Coturnix japonica: one gene and its partner. The protein of the gene in region 2 purifies or fractionates together with the protein of the main gene of each other region. This does not show direct contact. Links are inferred from orthologs where the notes say so. Each region holds a gene or a part of one and is shown on either strand. Other genes may lie near its edges.

Evidence for each region. The genes of interacting proteins can lie anywhere in the genome.
Region 1: the proteins of HTT (region 2) and CREBBP purify together in Homo sapiens (affinity purification with western blotting; 5 studies listed by BioGRID and IntAct, with this or other methods). This does not show direct contact. The link is inferred for Coturnix japonica from reciprocal best matches to the Homo sapiens genes HTT and CREBBP.

The regions. Positions count from the first base shown.
Region 1 is NC_029529.1:11,019,037-11,022,536, forward strand, and holds part of CREBBP (CREB-binding protein), read right to left. Parts: coding exon 3,444-3,500; intron 2,196-3,443; coding exon 2,118-2,195; intron 1,688-2,117; coding exon 1,620-1,687; intron 390-1,619; coding exon 239-389; intron 1-238. UniProt on the Homo sapiens protein: Acetylates histones, giving a specific tag for transcriptional activation. Mediates acetylation of histone H3 at 'Lys-18' and 'Lys-27' (H3K18ac and H3K27ac, respectively).
Region 2 is NC_029519.1:74,630,080-74,634,096, forward strand, and holds the start of HTT (huntingtin), read right to left. Parts: upstream 2,801-4,017; 5' UTR 2,601-2,800; coding exon 2,500-2,600; intron 1-2,499.

The sequences.
Region 1 (3,500 bases), on a different chromosome or scaffold from region 2:
ACAACCAAACCCAGCACACCCCTCCATGCCCAACAAACAGTTCACAACTGCCAGCCTCCTCCAGGTTCACCTGCTGCAAACTGCTTTTCCTTACCTCCAACAAGCTGCCTGCTCATGCAGCACCCCCAAAGAAGCACAAAGGGATTAAGGTGCAAAGTGCCACAGTTTTGCCATATTTACGCAGGAAAACCTCATAATGAACACTGCAGACATCATTCAGTGTAATTAATAAACCAACCTGGATTTCATCCCTGGTTTAACTTCTACTGTCTTATCTGAACTTGCTACCACTCTGACAAAGACCTCCCCAGCTTCAGGATGATTCTGTCGCCTCAGAAACTTGTTCACTCTGTCTTCCAAATGGTTTCCTAAGCGCGTGGTCTGCAGCCCTGGAATTGAAGAGGGAGAAGACAGCAGCACACACGTTAATTGCTGTGAAGCTCAGGGTCAGCCCACTACAACACACCATGTCTGTAAGGTGTCTCACACTGCTTTCCTCCTTGGCTTTACCTCCACACAAAAACAATCATGTTTTTATTCCTATAGCCCAAATGGGCTGCTTTGTATTCATACCCTCCCATGCAAACCAAAAGCACAGCAGAGGGCAGATTACTCAGGAAGGGCACCAACCAAAGGCAGCTTCATGTTGCATTTTTAGATTCTTGGGCTTATTTTACAGACACTGCAAATGTTTTCTCCTACCAACACCACGACCCGGCTGCTGGGCAGAGATGACACCACCATATGGATTTTACATCTCAGGCCCATTTAACATACACTTCCCATGAAAGCTCAGCACCCAATTCAAACTGTAGCTCAAATCTGATACAGGTCTCCACACCAACACCAGCATATCAGGCTTCCAGGCAGCCTGGGAGCAATGGAGAACGTTTGTTACTGGGTGAGCAACAGTCCAGATGCCCCAAGAACAAAACTACCTTATGCTACATGTTGGTTACTCAGACATTTTCAAGCTCTGTCACAGAAAAACTGCACACCTGTAAGATTCTAAATCAATACACTGTGAAGTCAGCGTATCAAAGGAAAGGCAGCTATTCACAATGATTACCTGCAATGACATTTTTATTTCTTTATTTCATTAACATTCTCTTACAACCTTCATCTGTCTTGAACGAGAGTAAGTTTCATCTTTTCAACAATACTATTTCACATGGCAGGTTACCCCAGAGACGGCTTTGATTACGGTAACCTGATAATGCTGTGTGAGCCATATCCCCCACTGCACCCCATTATCCTTCCTGAGCTCTTGGAGCGGGTCCAGAGCAGGCCACTAAGATGATCATAGGGCTGGTGCCCCTTTTTACCCTCTTCCTCTTCTTGTTTCTTTTGCTTTCTTTTTGTCATAGAAAAGTAGGCAAAGAGATGCCAAAGGCCTCGAGCAGCATTAAGGCTGACTACATAAGGATCAGGTCTTTAAAATACTGACAGCCAGCAAAGCCTCAGGTGACGCTATTCCCCATTTTGCAAATACTCCTGTACTATCTATCATGACAGCAGCATCAATTAGAAAGCCAATATATGACAAATACATACAAAGGAAGAAATCCTTTGGCAGAGAGAATGAAAACCAAACACAGAAATAGAAACACCAGACTTACTTTTAGCGCTGAATTTGTTTTCTTTACGTGTTCTACCAGTTTTCTTCAGACAATTATCACAAACAAACCTGGAGAGAACAAAATACAAGTGCCAAAAACTTGACAAGTCTAATTCTGGCTACACCCAACTCCAAGTGCAAACCCATCATTGTAACCATCAACATACAAGGTGTTTTTCTCTGGATTTGGCCTTTCCATTTGGGGGACTTTAAACCCTCCTGAGCTGCTTTAAGTCTGTCAAAGCTACATCTGCATTTATTGTCAATCAGCTCCCATTGTTCATGAGAAATCTGAGTATGTAACAGGTTTGTTTCATGTACTTTTTCAATCTGAAACTACTGAAATGAGACCAGAGATGCAAAACTTCACAAATACTTTGTTCATACTCAGCGATTAAAAGACAGTGATGTGTATTAAAAAGCAAACACAGAAAATCTTAATTATGGAAACAACATCACTTTTAACATATGAGGCTTAGAAAGCGAACAAACATCTTACCCTGAAGGCCAAATAATATCATAATGTAATACACAGATCTGGTGCATCTTCCGACCGCACTCTTTGCAGTCAACAAACCTGAGAAGGGAAAGGAACAGCCCGTCACTTTTGTTGCTAGGCAGGTAATTTTCCAGAATTCAGCAGAAAAACGAACAACAGCCCGACCTTCTGCTGCTCTTCATCATATGTTTAGTAGCTACAAGTGTCAGATGTGAACTCCTGAGTTCCCTTTTTGTGGTGTTCAATAAATGTTTGGATGTTGTGCTGCAGGACGTGGTTTAGTGGGATATAGTGGTGATGGCTGAATGGTTGGACTGGATGATCTCTGAGGTCTTTTCCAACCCTGGTGATTCTATGATCCTATCTATGATCCCATCTTACTCCAACCAGAGCTTTGACTTTTCCCAGCTTCGCAGAACTCAACACCTTTACAGACTTAGTTTGTTGGTTACTGCACCAACCACAGGCTGACAAAATGGTTGCTCAACTCACTGCAGACATAAAAGCAAGTCGTTCATGACTAACCATGCCAAGAGGACACGTATTAACACGCCTTTGCCTGCATGGGTCTGCACTGGAGTTCTCTGATTTTACTTATTTTTTTATGATACTCCAAAATAAACTTCTCTTTTGCCTGGGCTGCCACAATGTTTATGGACCCCACCGCAATGGTGAACTCAGCAGCCTGCCTGTAAAAGGCAGAGCAGCTCTGCCTAATACCTGTATGAGAAAAGAGGATCACGCTGCCAGAGAACAAACGAGCATAAGATTAAGGCCTGCTGCAGCCACTTAGGGACAGCAGGAAGCGTAACACTGCTGCTACAGGAACAGCCCACGTGACTTTCCCAACAACCTCATGAGAACGATGCCCCTTTCGGTGGCCAAGTGCTCAGGTGAATTTGCTCTTTATTTGTAGGGTACTAACAATTATTCTAAACTAAGGAACAAAACAACCCTCTTAAATCAAAGGCTGAAACAAATTAATCCCTTTTGCTAGATATGTACCCATATTTCTGACCTCCTTCCTTTTGGATACTTGTAAATACCCAAATAATGAGGGGAAGAGCACAGCACTCAAATGTTAAGACTTCTATTTCAGCCTGACATAAAGAGGAATGGCAACTGAAACAGATCCTGGTACCATCGGCAGACACCAAGATCACACGTGGTGCTATGAACTCCAGAGCAAGGCTTCACTGCCTGCATGGGCAGAGGTGGGAGAAAAAGGAAGAGATCTCGATTCCTTCTCTCACTTCTGAAGTGCTGGTTAGAGCACAAGTGAAAGCTGTGAGTGACCCTAACAGCACAAATGGCCTGGTTACTTACGGCTCAGGATCGAGCGTGTCGTTCTTCTTCTTCTCAAACTGATCTTTAGAGATGGTT
Region 2 (4,017 bases):
AACTCCAACCAAAATTCAGGAGTCCAAAAAAGCAAAAAAACAGAGATGGAAGACAAGAAGGTGCCTCAGCAGAAGCTTGTAGAAGCAAAATGATGACAGAGAGCTCAATCTGAGCATTCATAGAAGGCCAAACCAACCACAGAAAGAGAGGAGGCCATAACCTGACATGCCTGTAACACACACTAAAACCACAATAAGTGATTACTGCTGATTAAAACCTTGAGGAAAGGAGAGAAAAGAACCCTCACATTACCAATGTTTGAATTCAATCAATACCTTAATAATAAATGTAAAACCAGGATATTATTTTATCAAGATCTCAAAATTCATTGTCACGATGACATTTGTGCAAACAATTCCCATCTCTAAGCTCCAGCCTCCGTGATCTTAAAATATTACACATCAGGAGAGAGTAGTTTGTTAGCATACAGCACTGCTAAATATTTAAGGGTTATCTGTGCAGGATCACAATTAAGATGAACGCTGGTCCCTATGTGCAAAGAACACAAGAAGGCATTTCTCTTTTCTAACCCATCGGATGGAAAACACAACCAACACCAGGAGTTCAGCTCAAGATGTCACCTGGTATTTCACTAACAATTCAGGAAACTCCAACGAAGATTGGCACAATATCGTTTCATAGGCTTTTATGGAGCTCAGTGCCCTTTCTGAATTGGTAAAGCTCCTGGGGGCATGCAATACTATCAGCTTTCTGAAAACAACCAGTCTATTTTTAAACAGGAAAAAACAAAGTCAACTAGGACAATTACAAGCTTGATTTTTTAGCGCTTTGATTCTGGTATGACTAAATGCAAACCCCCAAATCAACCATAACATCCCCCTGCAAGCATCACAAATTATTTTCAAGCCTTTCTTTTCAAATAAGATGATCTATCCTAGCAATATCTGCTTAGATTTTCTTCTGCTATGCACAGTAAAGACTGGAAATAGACGTCCACCTATTCTCCATGCCATGCAAAATCATAGTACAATCAAAAAATAAAAGAGCAATTAGTCCCTGTAAACACTGAGGTATATGAAAACAATTGGCTTATGAAGAAAATAAGGTTTTTCATCTGTTGTGTCCCCAAGAGTATCAATGACACAATGAAAGTGTTTGAGGTGAGAGTGTCCAAGCAGTATGAACCGTGGCAAATCCAGCTGGCATCTGTCTCAAACCGTACTGTGGGAGCAGGTGGCCAAGAGCCCAGCTTCCATTGTGGATCAGCTCTGCCAAAAGCACCTGAAACTGTCAATTTTGAAGCTACCTGCTCCTCAGCCCTTGTGTTCCTCCTGTCTCCCTCGTGTCTGGAGAAACAGCAACAGTGTGACTCACTTACCGAGTGCACTAAAGTCCTTAGTGCCTTTTCACCTGCTCAATAAAAGTTATTTTTAGAGAAAGCAAAGCCGACAGGCAGCACTGGGGCACTGAACAGCTCCTTGGCCTCCAGCAAAGCTGCAGGTTCCCTGACTTGAAACCAGAGCATTGCGCAGATAGGAACAAACATCTTTTCAGTGCCTCCAACCCTAATATCTAAGGACACAAAGAGATAGCAGAAACATTTGTGTTATTTCCTCTTGGAGCTCAAAACACGTGACAACGCAAGACTTCAAGCAAAGCCTGCCATAAGCAGTTATCTACATCCATTCCTTAAAGACAGACAAATCCTAGATTTTAAGCTAAACTTAAGATCTTTTCACAGAATCACAGAATGACCCGGGTTGGAAGGGACCTCAAGGATCATGTAGTTCCAACCCCCCTGCCTGGCAGGGCCACCAAACATACACCTTTACTACATCAGGTTGCCCAGGGCCCCGTCCAACCTGGCCTTGAACACCTCCAAGGACGGGGCATCCACAACCTCCCTGGGCAGCCTGTTCCAGGGCCTAACCACTCTCCTAGTGAAGAACTTCCCCCTAACATCCAACCTAAATCTTCCTTCTTTTAACTTCAAACCATTTCCCCGTGTCCTGCTATTATCAGCCTTTTCGAAGAGTTTACTCCCCTCCTGGGAGTAAGTTCCCTTCAGGTATTGAAAGGCTGCAATGAGGTCACCCCGCAACCTTCTCCAGGCTGAACAAACCCAACTCCCTCAGCCTGTCCTCATAGGGGAGGTGCTCCAGCCCCCTGATCATCTTCCTGTCCCTCCTCTGGACCCTTTCCAAAATCTCCATGTCTTTTTTGTACTGAGGGCTCCACACCTGGACACAGTACAACAGATGGGGCCTCACAAGAGCCGAGTAGAGAGGGACAATCACCTCCCTATCCCTGCTGACCACCCCTCTCCTCATGGAGCCCAGGATCCCATTTGCTTTCCTGGCTGCCAGAGCGCACTGCTGGCTCATGTTGAGTCAAACAAGGCTTAAGTTCACAAGGCTGCAGCGTTTACAAACCTTCACCCAGAGACCTGCAGCCACCTCAACAGCCACAAACACAGGCGGCACCTCCGGACTCGTCCGCCCGCTGCCACAACCCCACGTCCCGCTCCGCTCACTCACGGTCTCAGCGTCGGCTCCTCGGGGATGACGGCCGGCACCTGCTGCTGCTGGAAGGATCGCAGCGACTCGAAGGCCTTCATCAGCTTCTCCATGGTGGCCATCGCCGCTCCGGCCCGCCCTCTCACAGGCGAGCGCCCTCGTCCTTCCTCCCGCTCCCGACTCTCCGCCTGTCCCTCCTCTCCCCCTCACACCCTCCTCACAGGCCGCCTGGCGCCTCACAGCCGAGCCGAGCCGGGGAGCCGCCGTTCGGGGCCGCGATCTCCGCCCCGCTGCCCCGCCGCCATCTTGGGGTTGGCCCAGCAGCCCCCGCGCTCCTGCCTGGGTTGCTCCGCCCAGCACGGGTTGGGCGCCCGCTGGCGGCACTAAGGGCGCCTCAGCCTCCATCCATCCATCCCCTCACAGCCCTTATCGCGCTGAGCTGATGCCAAGCGCTACCGGCACTAAGGCGTTATTTTGGGCTGTGAGGAAAAAGGGGAAACACTTACAGGAACCAGCACTTAGTGCTTGGCAGGGGACCCGCTGGCCGCTCAGCATCAGCCTCGTGATGCTGGACCTGCTTTTGCCCTCTTAAAGCACATATAAAACATACCTATTTAAAGGCTGCTTCTCTCAGAGACAGCGGAATTCAAGTATTAAGATCTTTTTTTAACTAAAAATAATGGATTGAAGTACAACCTCTGCTTTAATGTACCTATAGCTGCTGAGACAACAGAATCAGCAATCATTTCTATTTCAACAACTTGTAATTTTAATTGTTTTCATGACAACTTTACCTACCCCGGCTACCGTGAAAGAGCTGCTAAACAAAGCACATAAGACAATAATAGGTGTGTTTGAGAGATGTGGCAGTGTTCTGCTTTTATTTCAAGAGTAACAATGGTAGAACATCCAGGAAAACAGCTCATACAACAATTAACTCGAGTGGTTCTGGAGCTAACACATTTAACAGTCAACATGGCTATAAATGGAAGGAACTGTGGTGGTTTGGACGTATGTGGAGCATGAGGAAAGTTACCTGTATGTGGATTCATGAGGTACACACAAGCAGACATTAAGACTTACAGAAACAAATGTTTGGAAACAAAAGCCACAAAGAAGGATTGATCTCATTGAAACAGCTCCACAGAACTGATAGATCTTCCTGTATCTCACACCAACAGAACAAAGCAGTTGGGCTGCTGGATTGTCTCGCTGCTATTAAAATCATGTAACAGAGCTAGGATCTGAATTCACAGAGGTGAAATGAAGGCATTCTGAACAGGAAACTCTATTTCTAATTATAGCTTCATCGAAATAAAAGTCTACATCAGCAGTAAATACAACCTGCTGCCATCTCTCATCTGCATCCTATGAAAAATCATGAACAAAATTCATATTATGTTTCTCATACCACAGTGCTTTGCTTTCATCTCCTTACCCTTTGCACACTTCTCCAAGTGAAATCTCCAAGCTAGTAATATTAGTCACTTTAAATTATATAGCACAACTTCCTCATCTCCATGTACCGTATAAAGAGAA